Lepisosteus oculatus: one gene and its partners. The protein of the gene in region 3 purifies or fractionates together with the protein of the main gene of each other region. This does not show direct contact. Links are inferred from orthologs where the notes say so. Each region holds a gene or a part of one and is shown on either strand. Other genes may lie near its edges. The genes, in order: phlpp1, phlpp2, wdr20a and fbxw5.

The links.
Region 1: the proteins of wdr20a (region 3) and phlpp1 purify together in Homo sapiens (affinity purification with mass spectrometry; 4 studies listed by BioGRID and IntAct, with this or other methods). This does not show direct contact. The link is inferred for Lepisosteus oculatus from reciprocal best matches to the Homo sapiens genes WDR20 and PHLPP1.
Region 2: the proteins of wdr20a (region 3) and phlpp2 purify together in Homo sapiens (affinity purification with mass spectrometry; 4 studies listed by BioGRID and IntAct, with this or other methods). This does not show direct contact. The link is inferred for Lepisosteus oculatus from reciprocal best matches to the Homo sapiens genes WDR20 and PHLPP2.
Region 4: the proteins of wdr20a (region 3) and fbxw5 purify together in Homo sapiens (co-immunoprecipitation; 3 studies listed by BioGRID and IntAct, counting the BioPlex papers as one, with this or other methods). This does not show direct contact. The link is inferred for Lepisosteus oculatus from reciprocal best matches to the Homo sapiens genes WDR20 and FBXW5.

The regions. Positions count from the first base shown.
Region 1 is NC_090701.1:36,367,175-36,374,986, forward strand, and holds the start of phlpp1 (PH domain leucine-rich repeat-containing protein phosphatase 1), read right to left. Parts: upstream 3,021-7,812; 5' UTR 2,813-3,020; coding exon 1,051-2,812; intron 1-1,050. UniProt on the Homo sapiens protein: Protein phosphatase involved in regulation of Akt and PKC signaling.
Region 2 is NC_090715.1:9,959,594-9,967,400, reverse strand, and holds the start of phlpp2 (PH domain leucine-rich repeat-containing protein phosphatase 2), read right to left. Parts: upstream 3,008-7,807; 5' UTR 1,411-3,007; coding exon 1,210-1,410; intron 1-1,209. UniProt on the Homo sapiens protein: Protein phosphatase involved in regulation of Akt and PKC signaling.
Region 3 is NC_090703.1:11,287,924-11,294,834, forward strand, and holds the start of wdr20a (WD repeat-containing protein 20), read right to left. Parts: upstream 3,004-6,911; 5' UTR 2,968-3,003; coding exon 2,704-2,967; intron 1-2,703. UniProt on the Homo sapiens protein: Regulator of deubiquitinating complexes. Activates deubiquitinating activity of complexes containing USP12. Anchors at the base of the ubiquitin-contacting loop of USP12 and remotely modulates the catalytic center of the enzyme.
Region 4 is NC_090719.1:349,289-356,653, reverse strand, and holds the start of fbxw5 (F-box/WD repeat-containing protein 5), read right to left. Parts: upstream 3,018-7,365; 5' UTR 2,911-3,017; intron 1,995-2,910; 5' UTR 1,972-1,994; coding exon 1,779-1,971; intron 1,435-1,778; coding exon 1,277-1,434; intron 1,171-1,276; coding exon 996-1,170; intron 852-995; coding exon 703-851; intron 621-702; coding exon 336-620; intron 219-335; coding exon 41-218; intron 1-40. Other genes in the region: transmembrane protein 268, read right to left, coding at 3,819-4,124, 4,709-4,897, 5,081-5,161, 5,400-5,510, 5,596-5,745, 6,053-6,160, 6,496-6,608, 6,693-6,783. UniProt on the Homo sapiens protein: Substrate recognition component of both SCF (SKP1-CUL1-F-box protein) and DCX (DDB1-CUL4-X-box) E3 ubiquitin-protein ligase complexes.

The DNA of each region.
Region 1 (7,812 bases), on a different chromosome or scaffold from region 3:
CCTCACCTTTTACAAGTGGATTAAATTAAAACCACAAAGCAAACACGGAACTTTGACATCGGCAATAAGCAATAATGGGCAGAATCTAAAGCAACCACAGCACATTTCAGAATACGTTCATAGTTAAAACATGGTTTCTGAAAAACCTCCACACACCCACAAAAGAGTCCTGCAAAGATCTAAAGTGGGATTACCTTCTACAGTTATTCTATACACTACTACAAATGGATGATCTTATTATCCATTTAAAAACAAATTTGGCTACACAAATTTAAACAGGACACAATTTCTGTGTACTCATCCATACAATAAACTATTCCTTCCGTGAATGAACTTTAAAACTCTTTTAAAAAGACTGGATCAGTGAGAAAGTACACAGAGCTCCAATGACATTATGAATCACACTGCTTAAACTTCCGGAGTGCAACATCACTAAATCCTTGCAACCAAGTATAAACTTTCTGTGGTTTGTCAGGTGTCTCGTTATTTTAATGTATTTAAATCTGTTTAAGCATGATTTTAGAAGACTGATATTTAACCTACACTCACACCAATAAATACAAGTCTTAAAACACATTCTGCTGGAATGTACTGAAATCAAATGCAAATTGACTTATCCTGGATTGCGTGAGTTGAGTTATTCAATACAAATTCCGGACAATGAAACTACACATCCCCTCACGTCTACACGGTCTCTTCCAGGAGCCAGCGACCTGCACCTGCTGCCTCCAGATGCCGCGGCGATAAAAAAGCCGATCGGCCACCAAGACGACCCACTGGCTGCCCAGGCAAAAGTTAATCTTTTATTAATGACAGAGGTACTGCAGGCGTCTAGGCTTACACTAGCGGCAGCTCGGGAAAGGCAGTGCTCGGCCCAGGTCGAACACAAACCTCGCCAAACTTAAAAACACCCTCTTCTTTCTGGCTGGGATACAACTGTAGCTGCCGCGCACAATTAAAGCTGTTCGTAACGGCCAAAAAATGCGACCCATTTAACTGCAAACACAACTGGCTATGCGACGTAAAAATGTTTCCAAATCATCCATTTACCTGCGTAGAAACGTATCATACAGCCTATCTCGGCGTCCATCCCTTCTTCCTGCACCCTCCACGGGTCTTTAAATCCCAGTTTAAAGAGGTAGTCATTCTGTATCTGAAGGGGCTTTTCTTCGGGCTCCAGCCGCCTCGCTGCTTCGCCGTGCAGCTGGACGTACAATGTCGGGGCAGAGGAGCAGCGGTCAGACCCCAACTCCGCTGTCCAGGTGGAGGTGTGCCTGGCGGCGCCCTTGCCTGTCAGGCTGGGCCTGGGCTGACACTGGCCGCCGCTACAGGGAAGTTTGGCCGAGCTGAGCGGGTCGTGTCTGACGCCTGGTCCCCGGTCAGCCACCGCTCCGTTGGGAAGCTCACAGCCGCACAGCCTGTTGCCGACTGCGTTGTTGTTATTCGAGATGGCGCTGCCGCTTTCTCGGGCAACCTGCTGCAACTCCTGGGCAATGGAGCTGGGCAGCTGACTGTCCAGATCCAGCTCGTCGGAGGAACTCCCGAAACCGTCGAGCCCCTCCGGTGCGCTGTCCAAGCTCGGGCTGAGGCTGGTGGACGTATCCGTACCCAGGATGATGCCATCGCTGAACGAGTCCCGGTGGTCGGCGAGCTGGGCCGCAGCGCTGAGCTCCTCGCAGGTGCTGCTGTCCACATCCGAAGGAGAGTTTGGTCCGCAACTTTCCTCTGCGCCGCGTACAAGCGCGGCATCGGCGGCAGGTGACATCAAGTCGACGTCGGCGTTTGAATTGGTATCCGAAGAAGGGCTGGTAAAATTCTTCCGCTCCGACTGCGGGTTTACTCTGGAAGAATCAGTCTCCAGTTGCTGCCGCTTGTGGCTCTTCCTGCTCTCCGCCAGCGGCAACCTCAGCCTTTCTGCCGGGGGGGATGCCAGGCCTTCCCTGCACTCCGCATGTTTCGCGGAGTTGAAATGACCAAGTTGGTCAGGACCGTCCGCCACTTCCACGACCTCCGGGCTGGCACTGGGGGAGCGCAGCCTCTGCTGGGCACCGCTGCCCACCCGTCTGCCGTTGCAGGTGCCGTTTAAGTCTGTCGTGGGGCTCCCTTTGCCGACCAGTTTCACCACGGCTCCTCCTTTGCTGCCGAGTTGGTTCAGCCGCCGCGCTATCTCCCCGGCGCTGGTTTCCAGTGTGCACAAAACTGGCCTGAGGTACGAGGGCACAAGTTTGTCGTGGACGTGTAAGCAACCCCGCTGGAGGTCCGCTCTCACCCATTCCCGATCTGCCGGCTGCAGTTGCATGACCTGACGGTGCCTCAGTAGCATCTTTCGATCCAGGCTCCGTGTGCTCAGGGCGGAGGACGAAGCGGAGCTCATGTGGCTCCCGGAGGAGGCAGAGGCTGAGGCTGCAGCTGCAGCCGAGAGATTTCTCTTCAGTCGTCTCCTCCTAAGCAGCAGTGAGTTAGTGTTACTGGCCAAACCTGAAGCACTCGTGGTTGCAGGAAGAGAAGGATTTGTACTAGTTTTACCAGTGGCCGCTTGAACCTGATGATTTCCATTGCTGGTTGCTACGTGAAGGAGAGGGGCAGATGTCCCTCGGAGACCCCCACTCTCCGCTTTCGACCCGCCGCCTCCGCCATCATCCACCGCCGCTGCAGCCCCACTACCAGCGGTAGTGAAGCTGGATCCTTTCTTCAATTTACCGGCATGGCTTATTTTGCCAGTTTCAGAGTCCGAAGCAGCTGTCCCGACCGCTGTGGAAGAGCCATCCAGTGCCAACCTGCCGTCCAACACCACAGCCCGCGCACTTTCCATTTTACGTGAGTGGAAATAACGAAGAAAATACACTTAATGTGTTAATTAAAAAAATAATACACAAGCAAAACTGCGCAGGCTGGCCACTCACTCCGGGTCTTACGCCATTGTAAATCCAGTTGGTTCGTTTCTTGCTTTTCTCAGAGCCGCTCGGCAGCTGCCGAAACCGCCATCATGGAGACTGTGGCAGGAGAAACTCAAGCGTAAGTAAAAAGCAAAGGGGGGCGCGTCAGTCCCTCATTAATTATAAAATTATATGCGGGAATATTAAATGAATGTCGACAGACATCCTACGTCAGCGGAACTCTGTTTATATTCATAAGGTGACATCTTAAAGAGGAGGGTCTAAAATGTGGGAGGCTGTTTCGAAAAGAGCTTTGTGTAAACATCTTTCGTTTTCCGACACTGCCCCCCTCAGGAAAGGTGGAACTATTCAAGCAGAAAACGACATATTCTAAAAGTCGTCAGAAACTTTCTATTTCGAAACCATGAACGTGCTGTGTTTTTTTACACCTGCTTTTCAATGTCTGCGCATATTCACCCGGCTGTTGAAAAAAAAAAGGCTGTAGTGTGGAGGTGTGCGGGTAGTAAGGAACAAGAAGACTTTAATCCCGCAAAAGTGAAAAGAAAGAAGAAATACGTAATGTTTCGGTTGTGAAGAGTTTTTCAGGTGTGTGATCGTATTGTTTTCATCTCGAGATCTTCTTGTTCCAATTGTTAAAATAAGCTAAAAGCATTCAGCGTTGTTAAAAAAACTTGAACGCTTGAAACCGCTTTGGTAAAACATTGTTAGGACCCAAACTCATACACTAAAAACAATAACGAAGACCATTTTACAGATGTGTGAATGCTAGTGGACTGTTACATAATATAACGCAGCGTTTGCTTACTTTTATCTTTTGCGTAAAGACGAGCCATTTTAGTGTTTTCAGTTGCAGAAAGTAAATATGTAAAAGCATGAATATCGGTACACAACTTGCTCTCTAAAAACCAGATAACCTGGAAAACAACCTGGAGACAACCCTGGAAAACTGGAATATTAAAGCAAGTACAAAAAATATTTTACGACATCCAGACAGCAGCAAATGTCGTAGAGCAGTTGAGCTATTTTAGCGGTCAAAGTTGAAAGTAGCTTTTAAATAACTATATTGAGGATTGATAGTCGTAAACATTACAGATCTTGCTCTGTGACCTTCCTGTACCTTTTGACAAAGACAACTGCAAAGCCCTTGCTGTTAAGAGTACATTTTGTACTAATATACTAGTATGTTACCAACATGTAATGTAAAACCTCAAAGATATAAAAAAAACATTACTTAGATTTACTTAACACTTTATGTGTTATGAATGAAAGTCTTTCTTTTGAAGCACATGCATTTTAGAATTGGTTATACACTGTCGGTTACAATTGAGATACTTGCATATGAGTAGCTACAGACAAAAAAGAATCCTGCTTCTTTGGTTTCCAGTAGTTCGTCGGTCTCAGTCTACTCCTGCCATTTCTTGAATGATACTCGTGAGGTGAGCATCCTTCCGGACCTCCACATGACCCTGTGTGGCATCTTAACGTCTGGCCTTATACTTGTGGCACCAATAAATCATACTTATATCATCCAGCTCAAAGTAGTCCGTTTGACTGACCTAATCAAACAAAACCCTTCTGTAAACTGTATAGTTTTAATACTACTTAAAGTTTTAGTAGTTCACTATATATCCAAGCATCCTTGATCTTTTTTTAAATCCCTTCTGCGAGTTCTTTACAGGAGGATAATACTCAATTATACCTCAACAGATCAAATATCGAAATACACTTTCTTGTTGAAATTAATCATTTCTTCGTTAAACCAAAGTTTAAAGTAGCCGCCCACATTTAAAGCTCCGTGAAGTTAATACTTGCGGCAGCCTGTTGCTCTCAAATACGTCTGCACTTTGGTAGGACATCACAAGATGCCATTTACAGTGCAGGTGAGTAATTGCTGCTGTATATCAAGAGACCGGGTGTCAAAGAATATGAAACCAGCTTGTGACTGTGGACGACGTTTTCTTTCTCGTGAACCACTTCGACCTGTTTAGGGACTGGTGGAGGTTGTTTTGAGAGACATCCAAACATCCATACGTTATTAGCAAGATCCTGGTAAGGATCGGAGCAGCACGGCCTATCCCTGAAACATTAGGAGCAAAGCATAAATATATCTCGGATTCCGAGTGATACTTTTAAGATATGCGTCAGGAGTACGTTTGACATTAGTGACATCTAGTGGTTAAGATGAGAAAGAAAAAGAAAATTGTTTTTCCGAAAGTTTCAGAACGTTAATTCTTCATTCTAAAATATTTTTTTAAATACTTAATTTTATATGTCTCATCTCATATAAAGTAAAAACACAACCTTTACCATTACAAAATAAATACAAGATATTTAATGAAAATGCAACGCTTAAACATATACTGTTATCAGTACGATTCTAAAAGAGCACAAATATAGACTTTCAGATAACAAAAGGCCCTTAAGCACTTTTGGAAGAGAATTCCAGCCTTGATGTATAAAAGCAGAATGCACCATCATCACAGATTAATTTAAAAAGGGGGTAAGTTACAAAATCATAGACAACACACTGCAGACTATAAAAGACATGCCACTAATGTAAACTGTAGTAATATCCTTCACAGCCTCATATGTGAGAAGGATAATTCATTACTGGATTCCAAAGGGAGCCTATACAGTAAAGTGATACTTAAACAGATGTTACCTACTTACTGGATCTGTGTATGTGCATTACTATGATGCATTATGTGCATTTTTTATTGCAATTGAAAAAATATCAGCTGATGACTGCCCCAGTCTACACAATTCAGTAGGTTGGTGTGTTCTTTTGACTTACCTCAACACATTAAGGAATTCAAGCACTTTATTAAGCACTGCATACCCACACTTCCAAATTAAAGGTAGCTGAAAAGCCTCAAGACACTACAGCAATAGTATAATGGCTTCTGTTCTACCGTTCAAAGCAGAGGACCAACTATCACCTCTCCTCTCCCTTATGGGTACCAGAGCCATGGTAGAGCACCAGGGTATAGCTGCTGAGCTGCTGTAGCTCTCTCTCCTACAGAGTCCCCTCTCTCAGCAGAGGAAGTAAATTTGGACAGGCCATCTGCTTATGGGAAGATCTGTTGGTGTAGGGCTGGGTATGGTACAGTTGTTTCTTCTCTTAAGTTGGTGAACCTATTTTTCCCATAAATTGGTGCTGTTTGTACCAGTTTTAATTCAAGGTGTGTGTCCTTGAGCCCTTCAGTCCTGAAAACCCTCTGAATCTGGGGGGCTACATTATATCTGTATGATTTTAATTTAACCGACATTCTTGCCAGATAAGATCACACACAGACCAAATAGTGATTTGTTGGGACCTACCAACATATAGGCCTTTGACAGTATGCTACATAACTGAGGTAAGAGACCCAAGCACACACCCTCAAACCTAGGGACAGTTTTCCCAGAAGCCATTTATTCTAACAGTATGTCTTTGGACTATGGGTGGAAACCAGAGCACCCAGAGAAAACCTATGCAAACACATGGAAAACATTCAAACTCCACATAGATAGCACCCCAGGTTCAGAATTTAACCCAGGGCCTCAGAGCTGCAAGGTAGTGATGTTAAGCACTGCTCCACCATGCCACCCCAACGCTGCAGCAATGTTGCTTAAGTTGTGTTTTTTTTGCTGATTAAGCTTGTGGTCCCTGCAGCCAGGTGAATGTTGGTTACCACAGTGTACAACCCATAAAAAAAAAAACGTTTTCCTACAATTAACTATTATATACATTAGTGCCATAAAATATGTATTTTAACACTGTTCACTTACAAATATCTTAAGATTTAAAAAGTAATGTCCTGGTGTCCCCATTTTGTTAACCATTATATTGTTATGCTTTTTAAATGTTGGTTAAATGAAAGCAGAGTTGGATTCAATATTATGTGACATATAGTATGTTACACTGCCAACATCCAGGCAATTAGCAAAACATACTTGGAAATGATTGGAATAATTAAAATTACTTTTTGCTTTTCATATAACTGTTGGAAACTGGCTATATGAAAGAAACACTGTGTGAAACGTAAAACTACTGGAAATACTAGTAATGCCAAAGACCTGAAGAGTGATGATCTTGAATTTTATTGTAACCCTTTTCTATTCACTGGTTTAGTAGCATATTACACTATAATGTTGCCTTCTAATAAACTTGGAAATAATATATCATGGATAACCTTGGCCTTTTTTCTCTCTCTGTGCTTCAACTCTTATTCTCCAAAATATGTCATGATCATCATCATCACATCCCGTTCACTTACTTAACTGTAACTAAGTGTAACTACTAACTACTCATTGGTGCAAGACAGGATGGATATATCCTAAATGGGACCCTAGTCCATCACAGGGCACACGTGGACACAGACATGCACACACTCACAGCAGCACCAAATTTACAGAAGCCAATTAACCTACCAAAGTTTCTTTGGACTGTGTGAGGAAACTCAACATTGGAGAACTCTAAATCCACACCGGTAGCACCCTGGGAACTGGGTGCTGTGAGGCAGCAATGCTAACAGTGCCACCATGCTGCCCTTTAAAATAAGTACCCTATGTCAAAAGAAACATGATTAAATTTGATTGGTGAGCAGCAGCCTGATCATTCAATGTAACACCTTCATTTGAATACCCTTTAAAAAAATATTACATTAACAAGGTGTTGACATTCTGCATTCTGACAGGAAAGTTGATTCACCTGCAGGCACTGTGCAACAATGCCTCCCTCTGGTGGTTCAGAATATTAATGCTCTGCTTGGACAATGCTCGATGCTTTGGTATGGAATTTAGAACTGATCCTAGCTTGACACTTCAGCTTTGTTCTTGTATTCTTGCTTACTTCTCCCTGGATACTTGACCCTTGCTTTGCCCTGACCACATATCTGGGTTGGCTGCTTTAAACTTTCTAAGCTTGTTTCAA
Region 2 (7,807 bases), on a different chromosome or scaffold from region 3:
CCAACATGCAACACATACCAATCTTTAGAGCGAGGGTGGTCTTGCGCTTCTCTTTATCAGATATGCATTGCAAATATGTCCGGTAGTTTGCCATATTTCAGTAATATTAAAGCACTAGCAAAGGACGGCAGTTTCCACCAATCCCTGTGTGCTGTTCTTTAAAATCCGTCTCTGGAGGTACACTTCACACTTATGAAGGTTATACATGTGTACGCAGCCGTATCATATATAATAGCAATGGATATTTTAATTAACCCGGATGCGGAGCTTATGTATTTATTTATATCAATTCGAACAGAATACTGCAATCACAGCAGTCATTTGAAGAGAGCATCCTGATTTACAAAGCATTAAAGTCTTCAGGACTAACATGATAAGAAGCATTGAAAAAATGATGAATAATATTCGTACAGCCCACATTCAAACATACGTAGAAAGTAAGCACGCATATCTTTAATAGAGTGGTGCTTGAGACATCTAATGAGTTAATTATGACATAATGGCGGAAGTACAGGAACATCCATAAGGGAAACAGTTAACTAGTACTGCTCGTGTATCGAATGAACTAAGGTCTCGGGGTATATTGGTTACATACAGGAAAATAATGTCAATGATTTTTAAAAAAAACAACGTCTGAAAAAGGCACACCGCTATTATCACAAATAAAAAATCACTTTGTTTCAAAACACTTGCTAACTATGCATACTAAAATATTCATGATATAATGACTAGATTTGTTTAGGGCATTACCGGAACTTAAGACCCGTGTAACTCTTATGGGTCAATACATTAATTGCTAACGTGCTTACTTCTTTCCTAAAATAATTGTTAAGAGATTAATACGGGTAAATGACTAAAACACGTTAAATAATTTAAAATAGATCTAACAGGTTACATCATGACAGCAACAGTAATGAATAACTCTACGCTTCGGTATGACACTATGCAGATCCCCGGTAGAGACTAACAAAATATACCTACCGATGCAGTTGGGAATATAAATTAAAAGAACGATTCAAGAGCACACGCACTAAGATAAACGGCAAACAAAATGCACATAAAATTAATCACCGTACTTAGTATTACTAGCTATGAAAGTAGAAGAGCTGTTAACAGTATCAGACGTAATAACGGCCCTTGTCTTTTCAAATGTGGGCAGGGTTGTGTCTGTTCTGAAATTTAGATACTGAGCATGATTGAGACATGTACCTTCAAAACCCGTATTCCAGTTACACGGGAGCCCGGTCCGACGAGGTCTCCGCGACCCGCAGCCTGGTTTGATCCCGGTTCACAAGGCTCCGGAGCTGGCGGAGCAACAGTACAAGAGCCGCTATCTTCGCCGCCACCTCGATCGTTTCGGTCCGGTTCCGTGCCCGGTACCGCCCCCGCTGGACTTTCGTCTTCCTCCATTTACATTGAAATACGTTACAGATGAAGGCGGAAAAAAAATGTCCAGTTCACAACTGGCAAATTCCAATGCACGGGGCAGCAGAGGAAAAAATCCCATTCAGCTCTGCTAAGACGCCATAACGAGACTGTAACATCACGGACTGTCAGACAGATCTAATCAATATACATTAGAAAGGCAGGGCCAGAGTTATTATTCATAGAAAACTGCCCATACAGAGGAGGAAAGCGCTGAATTATTCATCAGGGTACGTTCGCTATCATTAAGACAGACGCCTCACTCGAACCGAGATTATTTTAAATATTTGTACACTTTCTTAACTATTCACGATAAGAGACTTTTCTAGGTTATTCATTCCTCATCTTTGGTTTACCTGTAACGTCCAGGCCATTCCCAGATCCAGACCGCTGGAAGAATCTAAAGATCCTCCCCATCCACAAATATTCACCTGATAGGGAAAGTGGACACCTTGTTTCATGAACAGATAATATGGACTCTTCCGAACGAACGTTATATTCTCATTATTAACGTTAACAATCTCATTTTAAAGCTCTGAAAATCAAACATGTTAATGGAGATATAAACCTATATACTCAATTAAATCCTTTGCTCAAAGAAATCATTTAAGCCGAGGCTAATAATGTGCCAGTCATATTTTGCAGTGATACATTTTAACCTAGCATCAGCATGTATGACATGGACTGGGGCATTTACAACACGACGCATTTTTTATACTGCAGGAGAAGGCTGCCAAGTTTTTCTTATGGCAAGGAATCCTAACAGCAGGTTGCAAAAGCAAACAACTGGAGAATTGCAGCTTTGTGGGATTCTTCGTCAATAACGTCAGCTTTGCTCATTAGCTTCAGCGAAGCGGTTTACAGCTCTGGCGATATTGACACATTTGTAGCGAATCGCGGAATGACACCCTTCAAAGGTAAAGTTATCCTCTGCGTATGGAGTGTGGCTAGAAATCCTTCTCAATAAATGTCAATACCTGCCAATACAAGGCTGGGAACACAGAAAAGGACACCAGGCAAGAAGGAACTGGCAATAAACCACAATCTTGAAGTAAAGGGTGACCTGACAATGCAAAAATCAAGTCAGCCTTTCCTCCGTCCAAGTGAGGACAGTGTCAACAACCTGCAGATTATAAGCATTCTGGTATTCTGTGTGTACAAAACTGTCTATTTCCTCGTCTTCCAGGAAAATCGTATGACAATCTAGTCCCATGGATTACTAAATCAGATGTTAGTATTGTTTTTTTCCTAGAGAGAGTGTTAATACATAAAGATAAGTTTTTTTAGAGATTTAATCCTCAATGTTTAGTCAACTTGAATTAACTACTTGGAAAAAAAAGCTTTTAAACTGTAAAATAAAAGGCTCATCTGCTGTTGATTTATTACCCTCCAAAACAGCTTTGAGAATAAACCATCATCAGTAAAGCATTTTATTAAACTCTAAAATTTAAAGTTTAAGGTTGATTAGTTTCTTTAATTAGCTTCCACTCTCTATTAGCTTAATAATTACTATTCACTTGCATAGCAGATGTCCCTATCCAGGGCAATCTCACAGCTATCAATCCACAAAGCTGTATAAACAAGACAGCTCTCTCTCACATCACTTGAGAAGCCAGCACTATGGCACTCTGTAAATCATTTACCTAAGTTACCACCCTCACTCTGAAGTTTGTTTGCCAGTTTTGTCAGTCTCTTACCACTAATCAATCTTGACAAACGTCCATACATTGCATGTCCCCTGTGTGACAGGAATGAACTTTGTTCCGAATTTCAACAGGTTGTATTCTTCGTGATCTTGCTTTTTCGCTTCCAGAATTCCCGTTTCACCCTAAAAGGCGCAGACGGAAATGTGGAGTGTTGTCCGTGTTGACATGCAGTGCGGACAGAGAGTAAATCCGAAATGGCGTCTCCCTTTGTTTTGCTCCATGATGGAAATCTTTGTGCAACAACCAACAGCATATGCCTGTGCCTTTACCTTCAGTGATCTGCTTGCTCAGCAGTACTGAAACACAACCACAGCTCAGCTCAGTTCTGAACTGCATTCAAGGAAACGATGAAATCGTGCCGTTCCCATTCTGCCATTTATGTTAGAAAGATATTATAGGACATGAAAAAGAGAAGGAACCAAGACAGCATGGACAAAGCGCTTTCAAGGGACCTCCGACGTGCAAAACAAATGTAGACGCACAGAGTGCCAAGGCTTTCAAGAAAATCTAAACTGCAAGAGGTCAAACAAAAGGCTTTGTGGACCCACCGAGAATGTCAAAAAAAGCCAATTTATGATGTTGATGGGTATACAGTAATCATGTTTGTAACCTGATTGTGGCTCGAGAACAGCCTGCTGTCGCACTCCGAACAATGGAATTAGTGACTGTGGTGTCTCGCATGCAGCTTACTGAAGATTATGGATTTTTCTGTAAAGATTTTTAAAAGATTTCAGGTCACTAGCTCTTAAATAATTTGTCCCATTTATACAAAGAATTGTTCTGACAAACACTTTCATGTAACGAAACGCAATGAACATAAAAACCTCCCAATATTTTTCCACAACAGTCAACAAACTACTCCTACTAGTCCCAGATAAATAAATACAAAACACTGGCTTTCTATGGACGTTTTTTGAATTTTTATTAGTCACTGATCATAATTTTTCCAACCCAAAGACAATAATACACAGCAGAATTCTAAAATGTCCCATGAAATTGTTTACAGCCTTATTATAATTTCAGCCTTGCATTCCCTTCCAGGTTTCAGGACAATGGACTCAAACTCAACAATCCTTTCTTACCAATCAGATTTTATGTGGTACTTTACCAGAGATTCATAAAGGGGAACTTCATACGAAGACTCGCCAACTAAATGACTTTATTTCTATGAGAAGAAAAGGGAAGGAAACTGGATTCCTGACTCCCTCCTCCTTTCCCACACAAGCACAACATGTGTATCAACCAACATAATAGTGAAAAACAATCACATCAAATGGAATGGTGTGAATGCTCACTTTCATTTTATCCCCAAAGCTATGACTTTTTTTTTAAATGACAGATATTTAAACTTTTTTTAATTTTCCATGTTCAGCAAAGAGGTATGTTGAACATTTTCTTTGCATTTTAAAAAGATACATCAAGAGTAGAAATGAGAGTATTTACACTGTTTTGCACATGCAGCTCTGAAGCTGAAGATTGCAACCACTGCGACCGATGTGTCTTACCTTGTATGGAGTGAAGTAAGACAACCATGTATAGGCAAACATATATCAACAATTTATATTAGTGGATTTAAAAAGGTCCATTTGCTGTTCATACACTTCCCAGGGATTTGTTTCAATTCCGCAGTGCCCTAATCTGCCAGTTCTTTCAACACTTAAAAGCATACAATGTTCTTACAGGCGAATTTAAGAATTTAAACGATGGGGTAACACTGCACCCTTTAAACTAAAAATACACTGGTGAATATAAAATAAAAAACACTGGACACAATGAGAAACAGTCCAATTTTGTTCTTTGCTGCAACTCCCCAGTGTCTAACAGCACTCCCATGTGGTCAAGTGCTGCCAGTACAGAAAATGTGAATATTCTACTACAGCTTTTGTGTTATAAAATGGAAAGAAAAGTTACTGTTTTTCTAAAGGACGGCTGCACAGCAGAATGTGATTAAAAAAAGAAATGCTAGATAATAACAAAGACTACAAATGACAAACTGCCAGGACATAGAGCAAAGAGACCCCAATTGGCATCAGAAAGCACAAGAGTAGCAAGCCCCTTGCCACAGCTGCAGCCTGCTATTCAGGTCCATCAATCCTTAAGTTTTGATAAACACGTCTGTTTTTAACACTCTAGTTTTGAACTTGAAGCCTTTAGTTGTATGCACAGGTGTGTCAAAACTGACCATCCAAAGCCGATCTGACTTAATTTCCAACTACAGTAAATGTAAAAAAACTACTTTCCACCATACCTCTTGTATTATCTGTTGACTCAAGCAGGTAAGGGAAGTGGGCAGCCTTCAGACTTTTCTTTTCTGTAAATGTGACCATTTCTCTTTCACGTACAATCATAACAGAATCAGATGCAATGGCAAAAAAAGAACAAGGTGAGAGGGAATAGGAGACCATCCCAGCTACATACGTATCATAGCAGTGCAAGACAGAACATCTAGTTAGGCTTGATGTACATCATCTACATGAAGCAATGGAAGGCCACATTTAGGCTGTCTGTAAACCAGCCATTGGGTTTGATTGTATCAAGTGAAGAAGCAATAAGATATAGCTCAATCCAGAAGAAAGCTTATTGCATTTTGGCAAGGGGCCCACTCCCATTGAAGAGGATATAAACAGATTAAGAAGTTCATCAAAACAAATACATTGTTGTTTCTGGTGTTATTGTACAGTGTTACTCAGTAGTATATTTTTTGGACTTTTACCTCAAAAATCCCACAAAATCTCATCCACCAGCAAACAGAAACATCTTTATCAAATTACATATCTTTGAAAAGAAATGGCTAAGTAACTGTTTTAATTTTAGCCAGATAAAAATTTACAAACATCTAAAATGACTAATTTGTTGAAAGATTTCAGTCTGTCCTTAAAAAAGGAAAAATATGGTTTATCCATTACATAACCCCAAACTGAACAAAGTCTTCAAAAATTCAATGAAAAGGAGTAAATTAGTAACTATCCTTCTAAGGTTTATTAAATATCTGTATATAATTAATTTCTTCCTAGCTATTCATAACTGGGTCTTGAATTGGATATTTTAGCATTTTTACAATTATATACAATATACAGGCAGCAGATGCTATATTGTTTTGTAATGTACATGAAAACAGGGAAAGCCAAACAATTTGACTATTACGTAAATAACTAGATTTATTTTAGTCCATTTCAAACAATACACTACACGTGTATGTTGACAGAATAAAACTGATCTTTAGAAAACTGATCTGAAAAGGGGTGGTGGGCAATTGAGGTGATCAATATATACAGAAAAGCCTTGATTGCATTAAGTTGTTCAGTCTAAAAATAATCCCTAAAAGCACGTCATACATCTCTTGTTCCATATACACATGGCATTGCTACAGAAGATTTTATTTTCAAAAGCTAGATCTTATTTGATTTGGTCACGAAAAGTTAGCAGTTAATATAGAACAATAATGCAAAAGCAAAATATTTCTACACAATAAATCAATGCTGGTAGCTTCACAAACAGTGTAACAGAAAAACTCAGTAGCACAATCAATAGTATTCAATTTATGTAAATGAATGCCCCCCGACATCCCAAAAGTTGTTTCATGGTCCTGTTATGCTCGTCATAATCAAGGTATGCCTTACAATTCTTAAACAGAAGCCCCAAAAAAACATGTGAGGTATTTAGTTGATGATGTTTGTTTGCAAGAGCTAAGAAAACACATTGCAATTTGGAGCACTACATGTACCTTGGAACCTAATGTACCAAAAAGGGACAACATATCCACCATTTAAAATCAGGTTTCACTTTCAGTCATAAAAGTCAGCTTTTTTAAAAAAATCACTTTTAACCGGTAAATATTGAATTTATCTCCTACTGTGAGTTGATAAATCCTTCAACTTCCCAGCATTGTTCCTAAGCTAACTAAACTGATAGGAGTTACCTCAAAATCTGTACTCAACAGCAATTACTTAAGTTATCTTTTCAGTCCCTCAAAGGCAGAAATTTTAGACATGTACATATAACCAAGGTATTACATATCTAGATTTACGGAAAGCAGGGAAAGATTGGTCAAATCTTTGATATAAAAAGGCACATTGCTTTGATATCAGGCATTATTTGCAGGACATGTCTTGTCCTCAGTGACGTTTGACAAGACGAAACAAAAGTTCTCAAACAACTATGCTATTGGAAGGGTACATGAAAAAGTGCTGAAACAAAAGGCTTCCTTTTAGAAAATTTTAAAATCACAAGCCACAATGACAAAAAGTAAACACATAAAAACAGAAGAAACAGTACTACGTGCATAGCATTACATTCAAAATTATTTCCCATCTATATGTACAAACATTAAGTCAATGGCTATGCGAATACAGAAAAAATTAAGACTTTCTGGATGAAGACAAAAACAAACCTTAGTCGTTGCTGTTAAACTGCATACTGGTGTATTTGTGAACATACTTATTAACATGAGTCAGGAGAATCTTGATCTTCCATTCTGTTTTAGAATAGAATGGAAGATAAAGATTCATTATGAGGCCCAATGTACATTCTGCAAAGAAAAACAATTGAACATAAAAAAGCCTTTAAGATCACTGCAATGAACAGTAAAAGCACCTTTAAACCGCTCAAACCTTAGCAATAACTTTACTGCCTTGCTCCTCCCCTCTATCAACTAAAAATACATAACGTGGCAAATC
Region 3 (6,911 bases):
TTTCAACAAAAACTAAAGCACGAAAATGAATCACAGATCCATGGATCAAAAGGCAACTTGAAATATGGCTTTGAGAGAAATTTAAAGCTGAAAAGTTACAATCCTAGTTAGTTCTGTAAAGGACATACTGCACTACTATTACTAACCACATGTTTCGCCCAGATTTAAGTGAGTGCCTGGCCAGCATGTATCCTCTGTCTCTTTGCTAAATGTGCACTCCATGTGCAGGCAGAGGACTTTCACCCACCTGGTCATCTGCACTATCAGTCACACTGGTAAACTGAAGAGTTCATATAGCTCTAAATCCTTCCTCATTCTTATAGTTTTAATAAGACCATCCAAGAGGAAAAACAGCATTTTCACTTAGATAAAAAAGGTTCCACTGAGATCTGCAAATGTGCTTTCTTGCAAGAGAATTAAGTCCATCTGTCTAACGAGAAGAGTTGGTACTTTAAACAGTAACTGCATGAGCAACATATGCAGTTAAATACATGCAAATTAATATGTACATTTTAAGCATAGACTTCTTTGTACAGTTTTTTTATTAATTCTTAACTGTAAAATATATTAGCATTATTAAGCGGACATAGCGTCAAGACAAATCGTAATAGATTTCAGTTTTGCTACTGAGGGAGGCACTAGTAAAGTCACTTCTCTAGACATGCGTCAGATTACTTGCAAAGAAACTTGCACATAAAGTTTTGTCTGCATGCAAAGAGACCAGCATAGACTTCACTTCCCAAGACTACAAAGCATTTGACAAGTTTTTCCATGAAGAACCCCCAACACCCAGTGGCAAAATCTCCACACTCTGAGAATGTGTTTGAGTCCTAAGTGTCCTACAATAAGGGAGTCATAGGCATTGTGATGGATGACAAACACTACAATGCAAAACATCGTCTAGCTATACATGTACATATGAATGAAATATGTACTATGTACTGACTAAAGATAAGAGAAAACCCTGATGTATTCACCCAGATAGACATTCGGACTCTTGACAATTAGGAACTCAAGGGTAAATCAAGCATCTACAGTTGTCTATACTGTGCCACCAAGAAGTGATTCCAGGTACATAGAAAATACATCATAAACCCATGAGCAAAGAAGGAACAAGCAGATAGAACACCATCAGCTTTAGAACAGTATTTTCAGAGCCCAGACTTTACAATTGTGATGAAAAACGGGATGATATAGGAAATTTGGATAAGGCACGTAATGGGATAGTGTCAGCTCTGGAATGTATTACTGAAAGCCTTGAGGCACATTACTCAAGAACACAGCATTCAAATCAACTTCAGGACAGAGCAGGATATAGTACACAGCCTGGCACAGGTTTCCAATTAAATACTAAGCTGTTCAGTGAAATGTAATGCCGTAGTATTCCCATTTTAATCAAACCAGACATTTTCAGGAAGCACTTTAATTTGAACCTTTTCTCAACATGTGAGAACTACCGCAGTGTTCTCAACAAATCTCAATCAACAGATATGACAGACTGTCTTTAAATATCTGGGGTTATTACCTGAAGTATTTTTTTTTTAAAATTACAATACCCTTTCAGCAGTACTCTTCCAACCCTCCTCTACATAAATGTATTACGCTCAACTCTCAAAAGTGAAACATTCCCGCATACTCCAATGACACTGCAAACTTGCTGAGCAATGCCAGCTTTATTGGGTATACGGGCACGGTGAACGTCCAGCATGACTTTCCAACATAAGGCGTGGCTTTAATCCTTCGACATTCAAATTACCTGTGTTCCCAGAGTTACCATAACCCCCAAGTACATTCACGGTGTGGGAAAACAGTGTGATTTTCTATCAAATCTGTAGCCTTCTACAGAGATCAGAGCAGACATTTTCAATACCGACCTCAACGAAGGGTTTCCAAACTGCTGAAGAAACGAAAGGTTGTCTGATAGGGCACTTAAGCCACATAATAATCATCAAGCAGTACTCTTGACACCCGAAATTACATACTGCGTCGAACAGCGACTCCGCTCATCCAGGCTGAAAGTGTTTAACAGTTTACAATACGCCCACCTTACGCATGATTTCACACATTGAATTCAGATCATTAACGTCTCCTCTTACGCCTCTGTCCTAGTCACAACCAGAGAGACCTGCGTGTCGGTCACGGCAAATTCATGCAATACACAAAACAGCTCGCACGCTAGGCGTACTAAGTTACCATATAGTTCTGCTTCGCGTACCGCCTCCGCAAGACAGGGTCGCCTTGGAAAGTGAGATCAACTACGGATAAAACACCAACCCCGAGAAAATGAGAAACAAGTAACCAAATGGAGACACATCCATTGCTTTGCGTGGCACCTCACACACAAGCTAACTGAGCAGATCTGTCACACGACCCGACTGTCGCCGCACGTCACGTCCCGAACGATTGAAGCACAGACACCGTGAAGTTCACGCACGCAAGTTTAGACACATTTGTGCACCACTTCGTCTATATATGACCATGACGGACGCTAGATGCACATTCCAAAGCAGGTGAAACAGGGCCTTTTTCAGCTGTCAGCTCAGTGCATACCACAACTGTTTAACAAGAAAGGCGAAAAGCAAACTGGAGGTAGGTGTCACTTTGGTTGCGTCAGCCGCATTATACCCCATTACTTCTCTACTTTAAAAGCAAACATTAATGCTATAAGAGCCGTTGGCTTGGAGAACGTAACGTCCTGTTTACCTTTCTGACGCCTTTGTAGATATAAAAGTATAGCTCCCGGCCCACATTGAAACAGATTCTGTCGCCGTTACCAGACTGGTCGTTGACGTTGACGAAGGAGACTTTGACGGGGTTAGAGCCCTGGGAATTGAAAGGCACCCTGTTGGGGCGGCTATATTCGGAGTGAGTGAGGAGTTTGTAGACGCCTTCCCGGGTGGTGAACTGAGTTTTAATTTCGTTCATCTCCTTCCCTCCTCCCTCCGCCGCCATCTTGAAAATTAGCATTCATCCTGCCCCAAGCCCGGATCTTACACACGGAGCATGCGTACTGCTGCTCGCGGAGCCGACTCGCATGGCGCTGGTTCGTCAGCTGATCCAGGAATTCACGTGCTTCTTCCTTAATTGCAAAATAGCATGTGGAGTGCGGGTCACAGGGCTCGTCAAGGTAAGAGCGGAGGTGGACTGCGCCCGGAGGCCATCGCTGGTCAGCGCTCACACCGCAGTGCTGTCAAGGGCATCACCCACAAAGGGTCAATTAAAAGAGAAACTTGCATGAGAGTTTCAAAATATTCACAGTTTCTGATGACGACGTCTTTCACACGTTACAAGGCTGGAAACGTGCTATCTGCTAACACGTTATCGGGTAAAAATGCATTATGTATTGGTTATAAAACACTGTATTCACATGTGTACGCATATAATATAGATCTATGTACGACTCACGGTATTTTTTATTTGTTATTATTTGCTTTTAACATTAACATATAGCTTATTGGTATAGTCTCCAGCATACCAGTCTTTCAAAATGAAACAACGCGATTGTCCATCCATAAAAAATGAAATAAAACTATAACAATAACAATAATATGTTATGGCACGTAGGGAGAGAACCGTGCCTTGCTCCACTACCAAAACAAGGGTCAAATTAATTAAATGTATTATGAGGGAAAACCTTCACTGAACATCCAGACAGTGCGCAGATCTTAAAGAAATGATCCGATCTCGAGTGAGGATAGTCGATTTCGCATCCCAGTCTTTGATATGTTTCTCGTCAGGTTTATGTACAAGAGACAGGACTTGACACTGTTGAACTTCTTTATTCTTTAACACTACATGTACGGCGGCAACGTGAGGGAAGACATCGGGAGTGCAGGCCTGATTGCTTATATCCCGTTCAACGGCATCAACGCCCCTGGGCTCTCAAATAAAACAAATAAACCATTTTTGAAGGGGAACAGCGTAAAGAAGTGAACGAGCCGCTGGATTCATAACTGACAGGTTGCGGGTTCGAGTCACCGCTGCAGACACTAATGTACCCGTCAGCCAGGTACCTTACCCATAGTTCCCATAGGGGGTAATGCCTGCGATGAACCTATGTCCCATCTTCGGCTGGGGGTTAGTCACATGGTCCTAGTCCGCTTAACACTAAGGTAACTAGGATGAGCTCGGGCCGGATGAATCACTATGCTCTGCTATGGACTTTGACTTCCAAATTTCCACGTCTCTGCTGATATTGACCTGCTGTGGATAATCACACGCAACAACCCCCATATGACCTCAAAACAGGTTAATAAGCGCTCATTTTATACGTTTGTTTTCTCTTGTAATGAAGTTGTGTTGCTGTACTCTTGTTATTTTGGCGTGTGGTACAGTTTAGTGCGATAACGGGTGCAGATTGCGTCAAAAAGCGAACCGATGGCGCCTCCTAGTGGCCAACCAAGGTTGACAACATCACGACCAAAACGTGAGACCGTAAAGCTCGAATAAAATAAGTCGAAGATACACGCATTGAACTTTATTATATTAGATTCATGAGGCGAATTCATGTTAAAGGGTGGCAGAGATCAAATATTTCATGATGCTAGGGAAAACCTGAAAATGTTTGTGTCCCACGCCTTTAAAAATGCAGTGACGATAACGTTTTCCCCGTTATCCTGTTGTCCTGACTATTTTTAAAGAGCATTACTTTTAAGAGCAGAACTGCATATTAACGACCTTTTCCTAAACTGATAAGAGCATGTACTGTACATTAAATTAAAGTACATTTGGGACCTAACGTATCTATCAAAAGTATTGGTATAGTTAATAGAAAAAAAAAATTACAACGTGTCTAAACATTTGTCTAGACAAAAATAAGATCTTATATCTTTTTCCTAGCTAAGTTTAATAAAATAATAAAGACAAAGGTACGAGTAAACAAAAACAGCATTTTATCAGCATTTTAGAAAACAGTGCAGAAACAAAAACGTTTACATTATAAAAGTTGGTCAAAAAGCTTACTAAAACCCCATCTTTTTTTTACCTTTTAATTACCGCATTTTCTTACCCTTCGAATTATGCCGCTAATATGAAATTTAGCCAACAGTGCGCTTTCCGTTTCCAGAGTCCAACTAGGAATTGATATTATAGATCTGAACAGCTATAGAGGATAGATCGCACACTTTGTAACACTGGGTGAGTCCTCACATTTTATCCCTGTGCAGAACCTTACTAGTACCTTCTTTAATTTACGTAAACGTTTTCATGCAAAATCCGATGACCCCTTCTGCACAATCCAAAAACTGGGAGCTGTTTGTAAGGAGAACGAGCAGAAACAATTGGGTTTTTTTTGTATGTCTTTTTGTGAACCGAAAGGAAAAAAAAAACACTTCCAAGTGCCTGCCCGATGAACGAGTAATATGTAAGACAACGATGAAGTGACTGCAAGCGCCCGGCGTCAAGAGTCACATGGTCGATGAGGGCCGCGCTGAAGTCTTCAGTGATTGGTGAGGACGACCTTTCTTGAAGGAAAAAAAAAATCCTAAAAAGCCCTGCAGATCCAATCCTACATATAGAGCTTTCTAGAATGAAAAGGTGAGATTTTTTTTTCTACAAACATCTCTCCTCGCGTCTTTCTAGAATCCCGGGTTAACTTTCACAGTCCTGAATCAAAACAAGAAATTCCAAGACTGTCGCTGGCCCTCCTCCGTCTAGCATGCTTGACAGCTGGGCCCTCCTACCAGGAAGAGCTGGCGTGAACTTCCAGCATGTTCTCGTTGAAGGTTACAGAAACTCATATGGACTACCTTCGCTCTGACATTGCGATGCTTAATCAATTGCGCAAGCTGGGGTTCAGCACACTTCGAGATCTTTCTAGAGATTACCTGACAAAATACGGATAAACGAATTTGTGCATTGCCATAATTGCATTTCCGCAGTCAGTTTTTTTTTTACGGATTTTCACTGAAATAAAAACACGAAACACATGCGACGTGCACTAGAAAACTGCACAAACAACCGACTATCACACAATTCTTATCCTGAGGCAAATGAAAAAGTCTGGATGAATGAATGAACGGTCAGTTGCAGTACAGGAAAGGTGCAGAAAGCAAAGGAGCATTGCAATTAAGATCTATGTCTATGCCTCCGTATTTTCGTATACATCTTAATCATAGCAATGATTGAACGACGTTTTTCTCTACCTGTCCCAAATAATTTCCCTGATCATTCTGCCTATCAGTGCTAAAGACTATTCTTCAGATCCTCCTAGCACTGCTTCTCTGGTTATCCTACAAATGTAAACAGCATCGTATTAATATCACAATATTACAAACCTAGTCCCACAAAACATACTGTACATTGATGTAATATCACAGACGAGCAAAAACACGTGCCACTCCTGGAATATCTACACAGACCATAGTAACATCCTGTATATCCTGGGAGATTCAAAGCTGTTTTCAGTTCTCATGGGTTAAAAAAAAAAAAACATTATTTTATGCTTTGCTTATGTAAGACAGCTAAGGTTCAGGGGTTGGGTGTTGTATAATGTGCCTCATCCTACGCATGTGAATCTATTAATCTGATGTATACTGAGAATATGAATGCTAGTGCTTCCTTTTTTGCCGTGCACAATAGACAGGAGTATGCTTCTTTGGGAGCACGTTGACGGTTGTGTGGTGTGATGGACAGTCGGGTTGGGATAAAGAAGGCCGGAGGATCCGTCCGGTCCCAGGTTTTTATCTTTTACATGTGAAGGAGCGGGTCTTGGCCTCAGCTGTGGTGGTGAGGTTCACAGACAGCTGCTGCGCTGGGCAGGCCTTGCTCTCTGGCCAGGGCCCGGTGGTGCAGGGGTGATTGGCGGGGCCCTGTTGCAACTCTGCATCCCTAAAAGGGAAGACCAGGACAGCTGCAAAAAGTGCCCCTATCACTGTTACTTTCTTTAGGTCCGCGCCCCAGTGGGCATTCCT
Region 4 (7,365 bases), on a different chromosome or scaffold from region 3:
TCGTACCTATCTGGTGTGGGGTGCAGGTCAGAGGTCGTACCTATCTGGTGCGGGCTGTAGGTCAGGCTGCCCGTGGTGAAGAGCAGGTAGATATTGTGGTCAGTTTGCGCGATGCCGTCAGCCGCTGCCAGGTCCGCAGGGCGTGTGCGCGTCTTCCCCAGAAACCGGGCCACCCTGGCCTCCAGCTGCCTCTCACTGATCACCGGGCTGCCCCTGCCCTGGGAGAGGGCACCAGCGCTGGCACGTCACTCATTACTGACGAACGCTAGCCCGCCCCCCGCCCCCTGCCCCCAGCCCCTGCAGCAACACACAGCAGCTCCAGCAGCCCGGCTCACCTCGAAGGAGGGGTCCTGCTCGGGGGGCCGAGTGCAGAGCGGCTCCGCCACCGCCCTCTCCCTCTTCTCCTCCTCCTCCTCCTCGCTGTCGGAGCCCAGGTCGAAGACCAGCGGGCCGCGGCGGGGGGGCGCGGGGGCGGCGGCCTGCGCCTCGTAGTCCAGCAGGAGGTCGGGGGAGTCGTGGCGCCGGCAGTCTGCCACCATGACGGTCCGGATGGTGCTGGCGTTGAGGTTCTGGATCTTAAAGAGCCGCTTGACCACGTTCACGTTCTCGGACTCCACATCCTGCACACAGAGAGAGGCGGCAGGATACAGAGGGAGCGGACAGGGAAGACACCGCGAGCAGTGTGTCAGGACGGCAGCTGACCTGGAAGGCCTTGTTGAGCCACAGCACGGAGCAGGAGGTCATGTTCCCAATCCAGTACAGGTTCCCCGAGATCAGGTGAGTCTCGTTCAGCCAGCAGCCAAACACATCGTACGGCTTGTTCCTCACGCGGGACAGGAGGGAGAAATCGGCTGCAGGAGAGGGAGGCAGAAGGGGCGCAGCGTGAGAGGGCAGAGGCCATCAGGCTGACCGCCGGAGGGGCAGAGGCCATCAGGCTGACCGCCGGAGGGGCAGAGGCCATCAGGCTGACCGCCGGAGGGGCAGCAGACACTCACCCAGGCTGATGACGGCGATCTCCCCTGAGGAGGAGTGGTGCGGCCCGATGTACACGCCCGAAACCAGCAGCAGAGAGTCGTCTACATTAAACTGGGAGAACTGGGTGTAGCCCCAGTTAAACTGGCGCATACTGGAACTGTGGAGCAGCGAGATCTCCAGGTTATTGCGCCAAATCTGACCAGGGGAGGAAGAGGCAGAGAATGAGGTGGAGAAAGAGCAGGGGAAAGTCTGACTGTGAGAATTACTGACAGTGACAGTGAGGGGAAGGTAGCAGCAGCACCTTGACAGTGCAGTCCTTGGAGCAGGAGGCCAGCAGGTGTCCCCGGTGAGCAAAGCTGAGGTGCAGCACCTGGTCATGATGCTCCCTCAGCGTCTGCACCTCCACGCAGGGGATACAGTCAAACAGCCTCTGGAACTCGCTGTACCAGGACTCCGCGGCTGCAGACACACACAGCGTCAGACACCGTCACACAAGCAGACTCCCAGAGCCAGACAATCAGGCACACACAGAGTCCGACTCGGGGGAAATAGGCCCACTATCAGACGACCACATGCAAAGACAGAGCCGAAGGACAGAGACACACAGGGCAGGGACGGCAGCCAGACTCATGCACAGCAGTCTGATCTCTGTCCGGTTTCACCCGCTGCAACAAACCCAAACCTCCATTCTTCACATGACCATTCCAGCGCACACCGAGTCAAAGACATCGGCTCACTGATCGAACCCGAGACATTCCCAGCTCATGGGGTGGCGGGCAGCGGCGCCGTCACTCGCGGGGTACCTGGGTGCCTGGGCACAGAGCGCGGGATGCGGTAGTAGCGGTAGAAGAGCTCGCGCCACAGGAATTCGTCCCGGGAGACAGCGTACCACTGCCGGCAGGCCAGGCCCGCGCTCAGCACGGCATCGTGGGGCAGCAGCAGGAAGATCTCGAGCAGCAGGCTGTCCGGAAGAGCGACGGGGGCACAAGCGTCCATCCTGACATCCTGACTCTCGCCGCCTGGGGGGGGGGCAGGTCAGGAGCGGGGGAGAGACCGGAGAGGGCAGAGTGAGAGGGGGAGTTACCTGTGACTGACACAGCTCTCAGGGTGGGACACACTGTGACATGAGCCGTTACCCTGGAGACCCTAACATCGAGGGGGAGAGGGTGACAGGGGGGTCAGGCAGGAAGACAAACCCATCATGGCCGGCTGGAGACGTGGGGAAGGTGCCGCGGTGTTCAGGTGTACTGAACTCCTCAGGCACCGACCAGCTTGCGCAGGGCAGGCCCGCACTCTCACGCTCTGAGCTCAGGAGCTCCCACTCCCACTCGCGTCAGTGCGAACAGCGGTGCCCCGTGACCGAACCCATAGCAGACCGGACACACGCTTATCGCTCCATCATCAGGGGCCGTCTTGCCCCGGTCGTTTCCCGGAATCTCTAACTGACAGGAGCGGGATGGAGGGGAGCCCCTGAACGCGAGTGCTCTCTGTCGTCCGGGCTGCGGGGCGGTTTCACGGGGAGCCCACGGCCCGCATCGGAGCCTGTCCAGCACAGGTCGGCGGAATATTACTTTCGTGCGCTTCATCGAGCAGGCTCGTCGTCTCTCTCGCCATAGTTCTTAACCTCTACAGCGATACCATCTCACGCCATCGGCCCTGGTGACGCTGTCTTCCACAACTAATCAGCGTCAAAGCACGGACACTGAACGTCTCATAACTTCCACAGTAACTTTGCAAAACCGCGTTTGAAAATAGGTAAACATAACGATGTAAATGGCCGGTAGCAGCACTCGGTGCGTCTATAAGACAACGGGATCACTTTAGGACAGCGACCTTAGCAGCTTCTGTCTGCCTTGGACCTTAGTCATCTGCTTGAAATAATCGATATTTGCAGAAACACCAAAAAATAATACATTTAAGGAAAATAAGTTTCACCTACAGCCGCCTAGCCTCCGTTGCTCCGATTGTTGGCGTTAAAGGCCCACTCAGCTGATCTCAGAGTGCTGAGATTCGCCAGGCAGTAGCAATCAATGACAGATTTTTTTTCCATTGGCCTGCTGATAATGTAAGCCCTCTATTCAGAGCTGCTCAGTACTGCTTTACCTCATTCTGATTATTCAGATATTAATTTTCCATGGCTTTCTTGCCATTAGACATTACATTAATATCCACCCTGTATCTACATTTCTCTGTCACCATGCATGGTGATAGTGTCATGTGTCACTGTTCCAGTAACAGGGTCTGGCCACCTGGCTCTGTCTGCACTGGCCAGTACGGTGGTCTGGAGGTGCACATCCACCCCTTTCATAGGCTGATGTGAGAGCTAAAATGGATGGATATTACGTAAACACCCTCCCTGACTGAGTGTATTTATACACATAGATCACCGATCTTTAATGCGCTCAGACACTGTGTGTGTTCAGACTGCTTCATGAAAACCCACAGCTGGGCTGATGATCTGTCTGCAGAGTCAGTGCCTGTGCTGTGTGGAGCGTCTGTGGGGCCCAGTGCGGTCAGGACTGCGTTCTGTTGGCTCTCTAACACTTTGTGCTGCTGTACTGAAATGCGGGGGATTGACCCATGAATACATTTTCAGCTCTGTGTCAGACAGCAACCACGGCCTGGTGGCTGTGTAAGCAATTAAACTGCACACTAATGAAGAGGCTGTGTTAATGAGGCAGATTTCTGCTCCATTCTGCAGCAGCACAAGACAACAGACACTGCAGCCATCTGTGTTGTATCTGCTCACATCCCAGACAGCAAGAAGAGCCCTGCTCCCAGTGGCTTTCAAATTCTTTATTGTACAGACGGGATGGAAATGACATCGGAATTCTGCAGAACAGTTATGAATTTAAAATATGAGTAACACTTAAAAAGGAGTTTTGTTTTTGGCACATAATATCAGGAGTACTGATCAATTTGGAAAAAACAAATACCAGTTTACAGCCATTATTCATAGTTCCCAGGACAAATAGGACAAACAGGACAAAAGCGGGCAAGAACATCGGCCACCCGTGACTCAGCGCAGCCCCGTCTTCCTCCCTGGGGCCGCAGTGCTGGAGTCCGTGTGAGTCAGCGCTCGTCCGGCCTGTGGAAACCCAGGACTCGTGACACAGTGAGCATCCCAAAACCACACAAGAGGAACTGCACTGTTGAAAAAACAACAAAATAAAATAATTTACTGGTAAAACATTATTGAGGTGTTCCTGAAAATAAAAGAAGCCCCTAAACCGTGCGTTTGTGTTGTAACAGTGGTAAAGTGCGAGGGAGGAGGGAGACAGCTGACACACAGACCTGTCCTGGCTGGGCAGACTGGGGGAGACGGGGGGGAGACAGGGGAGATGCACACAGAGAGCAGGGAGCTCGAAAGACGCAGACGGACGCACATCATTCAGATCCTCCCTGGGCAGTGCCCTTCGCTGCCTGCCCATGGCCATGCCTGGGGGCAGGCTACACCGGGCAGCAGGGCACACTGCTGTCCAGCAGGGCACTCTGGACCAGCTGGCAGGGACAGGCAGTGAGGGAGAGGCCGGCGTGGGACTGGCTGGGAGCCGAGGGGAGATGTCCCAGGACCAGCAGTCGGACGTACACTCCGGACCACGACAGCAGGAGACACTCCGCCAGCTCCTGAGCGACAGAACAGCTTCAGAGGCGCACAGACAAGCTCACAGAGGAACAGAGAGGGGGAATTGGGATGGAGCATCAGCTGATCTGTTTCCAGGGTGATCCTTACCTGTGGTGTCCCATTGGGTATCAGACACACACACTGAGTGACGGACAGCTGCTTGGCACCTCCCCCTCTGCCCACACTGGCCAGCAGGGGCACCTCCTCTGTAAGCCCCGCCTTCCCCTCCTCTTTCGATTGGCTGGAAGAGCCGGTGACCACCACACACACTTGGCTCAGACGGCTCTGCAGCTCCAGCTGGAAACAAAGGGGGAGCGACACACTCACAGCACACAAACAGGAAACCTGCGCACCCGCAGGTACAGGACAACACTTAAAGCCCTTAGTTGTCTAGTTTTTGAAAGCCCTGTTGCAGCATCAGTGCTGTGATAATGGCACCGTGACAGCAGTCAGATTCACTGGGGTGTGTCCCTGCCTCACCTGATGAGAGCTGCTCCAGTGCTCCATCAGCTCAGCGAGGGCCTGTCTGCACGGACAGAGGTCAAAGTGCACCATCCACAGCTGAGGGCGTTAAGAAAGATTCTCTTCCCGATGGAGCTGTCAGCCTGAGCCACGTCAACTGGCCTATTCTCATCCTCCTTTCAGCCTTCTCCCTCGTCCTCCTCGTCCTTCCCTCTTTCCATCTCTCCCCACGTGTGAATCCTCCTCCCCACATCCTGCCCCGTGTCCCTGCTCTTCCTGCCCCTCCGCTACACCCTCCCTCTGGATCTACTCCCTCGCTCCCCGCGATGTGGGATACTCTCAGCGCAGTCGGGTGTCGGTCTGTGCAGCCTGTCAGTCCTGCCAGCAGCTTGTGTTTGAGCAGCTTCTCATTGACAGCCGCCATCCTGACATCGGTGTTGACGTTCAGCTGGGAGAGAGGGAGAGGGGGAGAGGCTGGGGTCAGAACCACTCGGACACACTCACCCGGACCGGCTTGGACAGGTCAAGGATACCTGTGAGCGGCGCCGGTGCAAAATGAGCAGCCCTCCTGCTGTGCCCAGCGCTGACGCCAGGCTGACCCACACCCCCAGTGACCAGTGCATCGCCACGCCAAGCGCCCGCAGACTGCAGTACAGGTTCAGCCACAGGCACACATAGCACACCTGAACAGGTCAAAGGGCTCAAGGTCAGCGAGACGTCTGCACATTACAGGCCTGGCCCGGCCTTCTTAATGCAATCAGAACCTAGGAAAGTTGCAACACACTGACCCGGCAGGACAAATTCTCCCCTGTCCTGGTCCTCCCCTGCCTCCATTTCTGATCTCTTCCCCCGTTTCCTTCTGCCCCCCGTCTCCCTCTCTCCTCCCACCCCGGCCAACATCCTCCCTGTCCCCCCACCCCCACCCCCACCATCCCTCAGTTCTGCCCACTGTCTGCCTCAGAGCCATGGGTCTGCTGGGCAGAGACTCACCAGGGCAAGAGCGGCGGTGAAGAGCCGCGAGGTGAGGAAGATGTAGCGCCGGATCTCCAGGTCCTGGAGCACCCCCTGCAGGTCGGCGCTCAGCTCTGCGCTGGTCACCTGGCAATAGTGCACAGCAGACAGCAGGATGTACACACTCTGCACTCAAGCACCGAGCTCCGCCCCGACTGCAATACCTGCACAGCAGTCAGCGTCTGGTGGGGAGTTTCTCATTAAAACCGCATACCTGCCACCGGCCTTCACATCAGCAGCCCTTCTCAGGGTGATGGTGTCTTTTAAGAGTCACTAGGGGATTCATAATGTGAGAAAACCCACGTGTTCAAGCAGACTTCTTCTTCAGACTGCACTCGCAACACCTTTCTGGGTCTTAGTGCTTCAGGTGATACGAGGTTCGCGCTGTACGTGTGTGCTGGTCTCTCGGTGTGTGAGCTCACCTGTATGCCCCTGTCTCTCAGTATCCTTGTCCCTGCCTCCAGGTTGAAGCCAGGACCCGCGCTGCCCAAGATATTGCCTGTCAGCCCCAGGACCACCTGCCCACTCTGCAGCTCTGAAACATGTCCACACAGGTACGCTGTACACAGCTATTTTCACTGGCTGCTCCAACGCCCCACCCCACACGCCGTCTTCTTACCTGGCTCCCAGCGGAGCACCCCCTCCTGGTCATCTTGGGCCTTGCAATAGAATGGGCCTGCCCCTCCTCCCCTCCCCTGCCCTGCAGAGCTCTGGGAACAGAATGATGGGAAACACCTAACCCAATGAACTATCTCCACCCTAAATGTAAGACTGTTAATTCGGGTAAAGGCTGCAAAGTCTGGGGTCAACTGATCAAAAGATCACAACTGAAAGATCTGGTGGTCGTGCCTTTGCAGTTTTGTACGTCACAGAGTGACGTCACAGCCAGGAAAAGAAGGCGCTATATTGAAATATATTTAAATATCCACCCCACCCGACCAGACAGGCCCGGAAAACAAATTGCCCCCATTATTTTCATCACAATCAAGAGTTCAACTACCGAGTTTGTTGGTACCTGTAAACGTCCTTGTAGATAGTCAGGTGATTACCCGAAAAAACAAGGCGCTATATCTCGCAAACGAAAGCAGCACAAACGCTACTTACAGCGACTCAAACCGGCACTAACGAATGAGGAGGGTTTCATCGTTTGTGCTGTCTGTAGGGGGGGAAACTTCACGGAGCTCAAGGAAAACCCTGCATGGTATTTTAAATACAGTATTTCGGACGGATTTTGAATCTTGCGTTTTTGCGTTGTGTTCATTGTGTTTTGCAATAAAATATTAACTTCAGAG